2 linked regions of the Arabidopsis thaliana genome follow. The protein of the gene in region 2 purifies or fractionates together with the protein of the main gene of each other region. This does not show direct contact. Each region holds a gene or a part of one and is shown on either strand. Other genes may lie near its edges. The genes, in order: ALDH12A1 and NLP1.

Region 1 (6,685 bases), on a different chromosome or scaffold from region 2:
CTTAAAACGATTTTTGAGTATGGGTTTAGCGAGCCGCTGAGGAATGATGGATCTTTTGGCCGTGGATTGTATCTCTCGCCGGATAATTCTCCTCTTGATTGGTAAGTTTCTCTAAATCTCTAAAAGTTTCAATTTTTCGAAATTCATTGGTCTCAAAATCTCATTTTTGGTGTTTGTTTGTTTGATTAGTTTGAAGGATTCAGCTTCAGAATCAGAAGATGGGATGAGATTCTTGTTGCTTTGTAGAGTTCTACTTGGAAAATCAGAGATTGTTCCTCAAGGCTCGACTAGATCATGTCCAAGTTCACCAGAGTTTGATTCTGGTGTGGATGATTTAGTTTCTACGAAGAAGTATATTGTGTGGAGTACACACATGAACACTCATGTTTTGCCTGAGTTTCTTGTTTGCATCAAAGCTCCATTTAACCTAACTCGTAAGCAAAATCAAAATCTCTAATCTTGAGTTTTTCTTGTTCTTGTTTATGGTTTTTTGACATAGTTATAACTGTTTTTGCAGGAAGTCCAAAGAGATTGAGATCACCATGGATGGCATTTCCTGTATTGATCAAAGCATTGTCCAAGTTTCTACCTCCTTCTCAAATACTTGTCATTCAGAAACATTACAAAGATCAACAAGTAAGTGTTTTTTTTTGTTTGTTTCCTCTTCAATTATCTTTTGAGGTGATTTCATTTCACATTCTAATTGTTGCTTTCCTTTGGATTTAACAGAATAGGAGAATTACACGGAGCGAACTAATCCAACGAGTCAGAAGCATAACCGGAGACAAGTTACTAGTTCACATCATCAAAGCTTGTGGACATAAAGTACAACACTAAATCTCCATTGCAGATCACTTTGGCGTTTTTGTTTCAAGGACACAATCACCATGGTTGTATTTGTCTGTTTACCAACTCCAAAATGATCAGGACTGGTAGAGTCCCTTTCTATTGTTTTCCCATGATAGTGATGAAAAAAAACTGTTCATTAGATTATTTAAGATCGATTAGATTAGGGTCTTAGCAACATTATTAATGAAGAGAACATTAACAAGTTATCATCTTGTTTTTCTTTTCACTCTTCTTCTTTCAAAAACATTTGTATTATTGTCTGGCTTTGAGCTGAAGAAAATTTCTGGTGGACTGAGTTTTACAATAGTTCTCTCTCTGTCTTAATCCCTCTACCCCTTGACTAAGTCAACGTCGTTGAAAACTTCATGTTTCAAGCTCTTATTCCCTCACACGGAAACTACTCGTAGAGATAAAACTACAAAACTCATATTTATTTGATGCAACAGCACACTAAGATCTTAGTTTATTAATTATTAGTGGACACACCACTTCTAAGTAGATGGAGGAAGTTCCCAACCTTGTGGAACCGGACCATAATCGTAGATGACTTCTCTGTGGCATGACCAAACCAGCTTTATAGCCTCTGGTGTCCCTATCCCGGCCCCTCTCGGGTCCCCCGCAGGTCCAAACCTGTGTTTATATGATAGTTTAACTTTTCCTCAAAGAAATAGAAATAGATACTTTAATTTGGGAGTGTGATTTTTCCTCTCACCAGTGATTCTGAGGAGCTCCAGTTGTTCTTCCTCTTAGTCCAGCATATGTAGTCCCATTCACTGAGTTCCCTATTACTTCCTGCACAGATTTGTTACATCAATATCGAAGGGATAGAGAATAAGAGATTGATTGATGATAATTGTGAAAAGATTTGCCTGAAGAAAGATGGGATCGTTTGAAACAACAGCTGCAGTTAGATGAGCGTGCATCCTCTCCAATGCTTCCAACACTAGAGGAAGTTGATCCTTTTTGTATTCCGTTACAATCTGGATATCATATACAGAAACAACACTATACGTTTCAGTAAAAGAAACACACAAGATCATTTAGACAAAGCTAATAAAGTCGATATCAAGGTAACCTGAAATGGTCCAAAGATTTCTTTGGTGACGAGTTCGTAGGTTTTATTATCCTTCAAGATTTCTTCAATGGGAACATAAACTGCAGTTGGCTCCAAAGCTCCGTAGATTGAAGGAATCGAATGATTCTTCAATTCCTTGCCACCAAAGAGTAGCTTTGAGCCAGGAATCTGAAGCAGATTCTCCATGTGCTCCAACATTGCCTCAGTTGTAAACTTGAAACAATAATGAAAAAATAAGTTTTAATGATACAATCTCATCAGATGATTAACAACAGATGGAGAAACAATGAAACTCACTGTAAGGACAGGACCAATGGTTAAGTCTTCCAGTTTGCGTCTTTCCGCTAGTTCTTTTAATTTGGAAACAAGAGGGGTTTTTGACCAGTTCTGCTCAGAGAGAAAATACATTGAAAACAACAAAGACAGAAGAAAATGGAAGTAAACAAAAGATTCAAAGGTAGTTTCACCATAACAATTAGGATCAAACCAACCTCATGAACAAAAAGCATAGACTGTGCAGAACACTTCTGTCCACTGCACGCGTATGCATCTTGATCACATTGCCATGCAACATAATCAACCTGACATTAGAGACCGAAACAAGGGTTACAATCACATTTAAGGAGACTTGTGGAAATACAAATACGGAAGGGTATAATAAGAAACCTCCTGAACATCTGGTCCTAAGACTTTCCAATCAAATCCAGCATCTTCCAATCTGATTCGACCCTTAAGGTCAAGTGCCAACTTTTCAGCTACTCTAGAACTACCCGTGAAGAGGGTCATCCGTGGGTTCGCCTGAAAGAAGTTACAAATCGACAAGACACTGAATTAGCTCAACTAAAAACCCTGTGGAGACAATAGACTTGTGAATTCCTGACCAAATACCTCTAACAATATCTTGTTCATTGTCTTCCCATCAGAATTTATAAAGTCCACATCTTCAGCGGGTAAACCACAATAGTGGAGCAATCGCATCATTTGCTCCATAACAATGCTTACCTAATCAAATAACATTATATTATCAAACAGATGGAACCAATACAATTACGAGAACTATAGTAATGTGAAGAGTAATTTATACCTTGCTGTCCACTTTAAGAAGAGGTTTGTTACCCATGTATAATGCCCCCATCAACTGAAGTAGTGGAATCTCAAGTGGAAAATTAAATGGTGTAACAATCGTTACCTGCATTACAAATCTATGATTTCAAAACAAAGCACAGACAGAGTTCTCACCAATTACAACCATCTAGGAAGAATGCCTTACAGGACCATAAGGCCAACGGTAACCATGACTTTGCTGCCCAAGATGATTCCCAGGGATTGCAAAAGACCGTGCCAGGAACCGCACCTGATAAAAGAAAGTGAAGCGAAATCATAAACATACATTTAAAGATGTAATTTCGGAAATTCAGCCACAAACATGAAATGTCTATATAGGCATTTTTGAGAACATGCCTTCAAGAATTACTAAGTTGTTGAAACTAATAGCCAGGAACCAAAATAAAAAATGGTGAAGAGAGTAATGTACCTGATCACCACAAAAGTTTTCTAAAAACTTCCGTGTGACAAAGACTTCTCCAGCAGCTTGCTGGTAACTCTTTGGAGCAACCCTTTGAATTAACCTCGCGAAGAAATCAGCAACCTAATAGTGTATACACGCATACAACAGTAGCTCAGTATGCATGTTATTCAGAAAACAAAACCTTTTGAATTCAAGACTCGAGATTCAACAAAAAAAGTATGTGTTACCTTAGGTAAGGCGAGCATATGAGCTGCCTTTGTCGAGATATCTCCATATAAAAGGTATCTGTAGAAAACAAGACCATTACTATCCTTCATATATGAAACAAAATGGGAAATGACAAAACAAGAAGAAATAGCACCAAACCTCAACCAAATCATACCTCTCTGGAGATTTGAAAGGGTTATGGAGACCATGTTTCGGGCACTGGGATAAGCTGTCCACAAATGGCTACAACATAGAACAGAGGAAAACTGAAAGTTAGAATTGACACGGATAAACAACATTGTGATACGATCAACGGTTTTTGATAGGCTCGTACCTGAGTTCCTGATTCATCCACTTCCGCAACTTTGATAAACGGTTCTCCATTTAGAGGATCTAGAAGCGTGTTATGATTTGACGATCCTATCCACTTTCCCTGCACTATAGACATAACAATGAAAGTAGAACTCAGAGACTTCACAACAGCATTTAACCAACAAGCTATTACTCATTTCCATAGCGTCAACGCACAATCAGTGAGAAGTAAAGACATACCAAAGCTCTGTACTTCAGCAGGATGAGCACCAGAGAGCTCCTCGGCATCTACGGTAGCAAAAGGTATGGAATGATTCAATCTGCAAGATCCATAAACACAAAAATTAAGGCAAAGGAACACTCTTTTAAATGGATCACATTCTCAGACATCAAAGAGTAATCAGAACACAAATACATAAAGTACCATTTCAAACTCTAATCAGCTAACACTCTCTTCATTACATAGAGACTGAGCAGATGCGGCTACTCGATGATCTAAATCTCAAATTTTTAATACACCAACTTGCTAAAGTTTTCTCTTTTATTTATTTATATATATATACAAATGGAAAGTCTATTACTTTAGGCAAAAACATGCAACCCCAAAAGACGAAGAGCAATGTTTAACACAAAACAAGAAATAATTTGGTGAGATCAGGACGTTTGAAAAACCTGGAGAGAGTCAAAGAAGCAAGCGAGGTGGATGATTTGTCACAGAGAGACTTAGCTCTCAGTGCTCGGCTCGCAAAAACTCTATACATTGCGTAAGATCCACAAGTAACGGAGAAAGATGAGAATCAGACGATTGGATGAGAGGATTCAAGAAGATTGGTGATAAAATAGCGAATTCTCGAGTGATTTGTGTTTAGCAGCTTATTAAAGAATTAAATGTTTTTCCCCTGATTGACGAGAAATACATTAATGATTTAAAGATATTTACAGATAATTTCTTATTTCTAGGTTATTATCTTTTTTACCCCATAGTTTCTAATGGCTTCTTATAAACCCTGATGTGATGAGTCATGACTCATGAGGAAGAAGAAGTTGAGCAAAAAATAAAAATAATAGTAAATCTCTTTTAAAGACCTCCTCTAATCAATTCGACTAATGGAATAGTAATTAGTTAAATATCAAGGGAAACTAATAATGAAAATTGGTACAAAAAAAAAAAGAGATTTATGATTATTATCTACTGTTTTACTCTTTTGAAATTTAAATTGGAAAATCAATAGTATTAGTGATATTTGACATCAAATCCAGGGATCAACCAAGGAATTTTGTAAGATGAACACAGATGTCAATTACAAAATAGATAAATAAATCTTGATAGATAAATAAGTATTAAAATGGTGATAGCTTGCTGAGTCACGTCCGCTTGGGCCATTGGCCCATTGAGTAATAGACGTATACGTTTGTCTTTTACACGAACCGACAAATAAAAAATAATAATATTAAAATTGTATTAAAATTATAAAAGTCTTTTTTCGTCTTTGGAAGAAAATATATATATGTTTTTTTCTTCTGGCAAGTTTTGTATTTTATTTTCTTAAAATAGTATATGATTTTTTCATTTTAAACTTTCTTTGTGTTTTCTTCTTCTCTTCCTTTATTTGGTGAAGAAAAAGGAAAGAAAAATCTCAACTTTGATTCTCTCTCCCTCTATATATACTTTATTTATTCTCCACTCATAATAGTTTCATCATCTCTTTCGGTCTATGAAAAACATTGGAAAAACCCTAATTCCTAGTGTTGCGAATCACTTTTCATTGCAGCTTTGAACTTCAGGTAATTTTAGGTTAATCGAGCTTTTTCATTTGATGCATGACATCGGAAGATCAAATCTTTCATAGGTGATTGTATAATCTAATCCTAAGGCTCGTTGAAATCGATAATTGTACTCTTGATCTACTTAAATTCAGAATTTAAATTCAGAATTTATACACAGCTACTATCGTTGAGTCGAACTTAATTTGCTAGTTGAAATAATCCAAGCTTCAAGCTTTCTTGTCTAGAAGTTTGGTGATTCTTGTTCTCTGACCTTTTGGGCTATATGGTTGTTGAAGCTTAAGTCTTTGTTAAACTATGATGATAGGTTATAGAAATGTAGATCTTGGTCTCTGCTTCTACTTTTTTTGGGTCTGAAAAAAAATTGAAACTTTAATCAGAAATTTAAAGCCTAGTTCATGCAATTGCTCTTACTTTGTGACTTATGAAATGAGTTTGTAAGAGTAAAGTTGAAATCTTTCATATTTGGATGCAGTCTGTGAATTTCCAACAGCAATGACAACTCCAGCAAAAAAGAGACTGATGTGGGATTTCAAGAGACTGCAGAAAGATCCTCCTGTGGGAATAAGTGGAGCTCCACAAGATAACAATATCATGCATTGGAATGCTCTCATCTTTGGGTATAACTTTTTGTTTTGTTTTCTCTTCAAAGCATGGCTTTGTAAACTTATTTCTTCATTGTCTTTGTTTGCAGACCTGAGGACACTCCATGGGATGGAGGTAATTATCTTTCAGTACTTATTGGCTATTGCTGCAGACCGAGATATTGTCATGAGTTAAACTTATAGCTAAAATAATCAGTCTGTTGTGTTCATCAGGTACTTTCAAGTTGACTCTTCACTTCACCGAGGATTATCCGAACAAACCCCCGATTGTTCGGTTTGTTTCACGGATGTTTCATCCAAACAGTAAGCCCAAGCATTCAGTGA
Region 2 (4,736 bases):
TGAGACTCTTGTAGAGTTTGAAGTTGTCAACAAGATGACCTCCCGTAATCTAGCTTTAGTCTTTGCACCCAACATGTCCCAGGTCACTTCTTGCACCACATCACAATTTTCCAAGAGTTTCCTTTTTTTCTCTACTCACATTGATCTTACACAGATAATGTCAGTTTTATCTTAGTGCTAATACCAGAATGCATCAATATATCAAGCCTCTGATCCGCATACTGGGTCTGTTTTGGTTTTACTGCAGATGGCAGATCCTTTAACAGCATTAATGTATGCAGTGCAAGTGATGAACTTGCTGAGGAACCTCACAGACAAAACACTCAGAGAAAGGAAAATTGCGACTTCAAATGTAGATCCTTGTGATAACAGAAGTGAAGCTGAAGATGGTAATGTCGAAGAATATAATCAAGAAGTAGAAATATATGTTCTTGAAGAAGTAGAGGAAGAAGAAGGAGAAGATGTTGATGATCTGGACAACGAAGAATCCGAGAGAATAACACTGCTTGCTGATGAACACAAACCATCAAGCGCAGTGAATGCTAATGATCGAAAGAAACAAGAAACATGAAGACAGCCGTTGGAGTTGGAAACGTCGTTAGCAGTATTATGTGTTTCGATTGATTTCTCTTTTTCGTTATCGAAGGTGCATGTAACTTAGGCTAATTGTTCCAAATACAACTTATGCATTAGTGTTTATATAAACGTATCGAATTTTTTTCCATATGACAACCTAGAAAGATGAAAGTGCCAGAACAAATTTTGAGATGTATTAAACTTTTTCTGGTCTTTTATTTTTGGGCTTACTTACCCTTTAAGGTTAAGCCAGTAATAATTGTTGTTAATGGATTTCCCCAGTGTGATCTTAAACAAAAGATCAAAGCTTCCAACAGCAAAAGATTTAGAGATTACCATCCATAGTAAGAAGCACCTTGTACAAATCTGGACGACGGTCACGGAACACTCCCCAGCTTTGCCTTTTCGACTTGATCATATCAAGATCAAACTGTGCTACAAGAACAGCTTCCGATTTATCATCTGCCTCGGCCACAATTTCACCTGTTGGTCCTGTCATATTATAACAACAATATTGTGACAAACTGTTGGGAAAATGCTTATTGATAAATTTGCATCTAAACTTCAAAATTACTGATCTCATCTGAATAAGTTATAAACTGATACCGGCAATGAAGGAAGTTCCGTAGAAAGTGATCTGACTAGGTCCATGCTCAGTTTCAATTATTTCCTTCCCTATGCGATTTGAGGCTACTAGAGGTACCTGAAACCCAAAGTATTATTGCCTCACTCATTAGCAAACCATTTGAAGCACATTTTGGCAAGTTCTAATCAGTAGAAATAACGGAACAAACTAGATACATGTAATCTATTTCTAATGTTACTGTAAAATAGCTTTCAGTTATAAGTTAGGCTCATAGCAATCCGATAAGACACTAATGACTTTGAAAACTGAGATGTTTAAGACATAATAATAGCTTACCACGTTAGCTCCAGCATGCCCTTGCATAACTCTCCTCCAATGATCACGCGAATCCAATCCCTGGTCTTGAGGTTCAGAACCAATAGCAGTGGGATAAAACAGTATTTCAGCACCCTGTAGAACCATAGCTCGAGCTGCCTCAGGAAACCACTGATCCCAACATATAGCTAAACAATACATTTCATTAGTACATCAATTAAGATGAAGTAACAACGAAAAGGACATTAGAAACAGAGTTCTGCATAGAGCATCTTACCCACTCCAATTTTAGCAAACTTCGTCTGGAAAACCTATTCAAGCCAAAGGGAGAAGAAGAGATCAATCATGTGAACCAAATAACATAACAGTTCAATTTGAGATTCTTCTTTTAAAAACTACCTTAAAGCCAGTATCTCCAGGATTGAAATAAAACTTCTCTTGATAACCTTAAGATAAAAAGAGGTCTCAGCAAAAAGGTAACAAGAAACTCAAGCTATATTTCCAACTCCAAACTTGACTCACCAGGTCCATCAGGAATATGAGACTTCCTATAAATTCCCAAGTCAGTTCCATCAGCATCAATTATAGCAATCGAATTGTAATGTGCAGTATTTGCCTCCTCAAAGAAACTAACAGGTATCACTACACCCAATTCCTTTGCCAGCTTCTGCATCCTGTGTTAAATTAAACCATCCAACCATTAAAACACTAGATAGTACATAGATACATCGAGATTCCACTTTACTGCGTTAGAAATCGGATAAGCAATGTCACACCTTGCAATGGTAGGATGGTTCTTGTAAGGCTTGGCTCGCTTAAAGAAGTCTTCTCTTTGTGCTTGACAGAAGTAATATCCTTCAAAAAGTTCCTGTTATACAGAAACTAAACTACATAAGACTAGCTAAGACGATTGGATACTAGATCAATCAAAAACACTTATAAATCTGAGAAACAATTTCGAAGAGCAACAATGACCTGAATAAGAATGATATTAGCTCCTTTAGCGTGAGCTTCTCTGACTAATCTGCGTAAAATGTAAACAATTCCATTCTCAGATACTGAAATCGGATTCGAACGGGGGAATCTATATCAGAGCTTGAAATTGAATAGTTCGATTCCAAAGGTCCGTGATCACAATAAATTGCTCGAGAAGCTTATACGCATATGGAAATTTGAAGGAGGAGGAAGATGGGAGAGATTGATAATTAGAGAGAGGGAGGGAGGAAGAGAGAGAGACGAACCGCTCAGCGGCGGCGACATTGGTGGAGATATCGTCGGAGCAAGCGAATTGGAGAGATGAAACAACCACTTCTCGTCTTCTTCCTTCCGTTTCCATTGTTTCTCTCTCTTTCTCTGTGTTTTTTCTCACAGTGAAGGAATTTAAGGACGCTCAAAATCGAATATAAGGTAGCTGACTCATTTGACTGTGACTAGCAGAGAGAACAAAATAGAACAGAACATTTTTTCTTTTCCAAAATCGAATAAAGGCGTTCACAAACGCAAACGCAAACGCAAACGCAGACGTAAAACCCCAAATTGAGTTGGAACATTTTAGATGTTTTATGAATGAGGGATCCTAATCCTTGTATGGTCTTATTTTAGATTCTTCTACACTTATCTACTATATGCACAAGACATAAACAAGTTGATACAAAATAAGTGTTGGTGGGTAAAAGTTACATTGGTGGATTTAAAATAACTAAACTTGGAACATAATCACTTAGAACATAATAACTGAAGAGAAACCAGAGACATAATAACTGAAGAGAAACCAGGGACAATATTTCAATTGGTTTGTACAATAATCGAATTTTCTGCAACCATGCCTTCCAATAATGTACATCATGTTCTCCGTGAAATCCTCGCATCTCCCACAATACATAATCACTTTCTTTTCTTCATCAATAAAATCTGTATTCGACTAAACAATCTCTTACCTAGAAAACTAGAAGGTATAACAATATTCAGTGATCCAACAAGATACTTAATTGAGGAGTCTTGTACTTGATCTTCAAACTCTTTGATGTCTACATTGACACCATATTGACGTTATCCCCCGAGTAAACATAGAGTATAATATATCTTTTAAGTTCGAGCTCTCTAGAAGAACAAAATATAGTGAATTTCCTCAGGTCTTTAATCTTCGCGATGATGGTCTTATACTTGAGTTGTTGCATCACTCCATGTTTATACATATGTAGTACCATCACTACTTCCACCTTTAAATCATTGGCCTCTTTGATGTTGGAAAAAAAAACTTCCAAAAAAAAAAGACGTTCACAAAAGCTAACGTGCGCTGGAGACGAATTTTACTGGAAAAGCTAACGTGCGCCTAATTTCCACCGTGCTCATCCAATTTCACCAAATCTCCGAAAACCTTAAAACCAGAATCAAAATTTTCACATTTGGAAGGATCTGATCTGAAACAATGGCAGTGAGAGCAACGGTGTCGCGTTTTCCGATCGATTCAGACGCTCAAGAGGCGTCAGGACTTCCTTGGGGACTGACAGTAACACCATTCGCGGCCAAAGACGAGAACGGAATCGGACCAGCGTGCGGATCTAACGGTCATCTTCTTCCTCGTTGCGAAAACTGCTACGCTTACTTCAATACCTATTGTGAGCTTGATCAATGGGCTTGGAATTGCTCGCTTTGTGGAACTCTCAATGGACTTCCTTCTGATGCTATTGCTCGTTACTCTAATCCTCACTCTATACCTGAAATGACTTCCTCCTTCATTGATCTTGAGATGCCTCGTATGTCTTACGTCATCTCTATACTGATTCTTTTGTTTTTTTTGTTGGAATTGGTTCTAATTTCTGATTAATTGTTTGTTTTTCTAGTGGATGGATCGGAGGAAGAGATGACGCAAGCACGACCTGTGTATGTTGCGGCGATTGATATCTCTTGTAAGGCTTATTTCTTCTATATTGTGTTCGAAGCTCATTGTGATCAGTGTAGATTGTACTTGAATTGTGTGTTAGTGAACTTTGGATTGTGAATTTTGAAAGCAATGTGTGTGTCATTTTGCTATGGATTATGATTCTAGCTTGGGTTTGTATGCTTTTTTGTTGTTCTTATCGATTTTTGGCTTGCTTATGTTGTGATTTTGTCATGACTTTGGAGATAGGGTGTGGTAGCAGTAAATTTGTTTCGAATTTTGTTCAAATGTTGCACTTTTTGCTCATGATTATTTTTGTTATCTGCAGCTTCTGAGGAATTTTTGGAGCTTACAAAAAGTGCATTGCTAGCCGCTCTG

The links.
Region 1: the proteins of NLP1 (region 2) and ALDH12A1 fractionate together in Arabidopsis thaliana (co-fractionation; one large-scale study listed by BioGRID). This does not show direct contact.

Annotation. Positions count from the first base shown.
Region 1 is NC_003076.8:25,098,428-25,105,112, forward strand, and holds ALDH12A1 (aldehyde dehydrogenase 12A1), read right to left. Parts: upstream 4,886-6,685; 5' UTR 4,733-4,885; coding exon 4,644-4,732; intron 4,292-4,643; coding exon 4,212-4,291; intron 4,098-4,211; coding exon 3,994-4,097; intron 3,903-3,993; coding exon 3,835-3,902; intron 3,738-3,834; coding exon 3,680-3,737; intron 3,573-3,679; coding exon 3,459-3,572; intron 3,279-3,458; coding exon 3,195-3,278; intron 3,114-3,194; coding exon 3,009-3,113; intron 2,927-3,008; coding exon 2,813-2,926; intron 2,723-2,812; coding exon 2,591-2,722; intron 2,506-2,590; coding exon 2,416-2,505; intron 2,312-2,415; coding exon 2,222-2,311; intron 2,138-2,221; coding exon 1,925-2,137; intron 1,830-1,924; coding exon 1,719-1,829; intron 1,642-1,718; coding exon 1,562-1,641; intron 1,481-1,561; exon of another isoform or gene 1,480-1,480; coding exon 1,341-1,479; 3' UTR 838-1,340; coding exon of another isoform or gene 730-837; 3' UTR 637-729; downstream 1-636. Other genes in the region: SRO5 (uncharacterized protein), read left to right, coding at 1-101, 190-434, 518-636, 730-837; UBC3 (ubiquitin-conjugating enzyme 3), read left to right, coding at 6,252-6,376, 6,451-6,476, 6,575-6,664. UniProt on the Arabidopsis thaliana protein: Plays a role in the inhibition of programmed cell death by converting the toxic proline catabolism intermediate (s)-1-pyrroline-5-carboxylate (P5C) to glutamate.
Region 2 is NC_003071.7:11,736,765-11,741,500, forward strand, and holds NLP1 (nitrilase-like protein 1), read right to left. Parts: upstream 2,835-4,736; 5' UTR 2,814-2,834; coding exon 2,638-2,813; exon of another isoform or gene 2,502-2,637; coding exon 2,453-2,501; intron 2,346-2,452; coding exon 2,254-2,345; intron 2,152-2,253; coding exon 2,000-2,151; intron 1,924-1,999; coding exon 1,877-1,923; intron 1,789-1,876; coding exon 1,755-1,788; intron 1,666-1,754; coding exon 1,499-1,665; intron 1,280-1,498; coding exon 1,183-1,279; intron 1,069-1,182; coding exon 902-1,068; 3' UTR 668-901; downstream 1-667. Other genes in the region: AT2G27460 (sec23/sec24 transport family protein), read left to right, coding at 3,906-4,233, 4,321-4,386, 4,687-4,736. UniProt on the Arabidopsis thaliana protein: Involved in polyamine biosynthesis. Catalyzes the hydrolysis of N-carbamoylputrescine to produce putrescine and ammonia.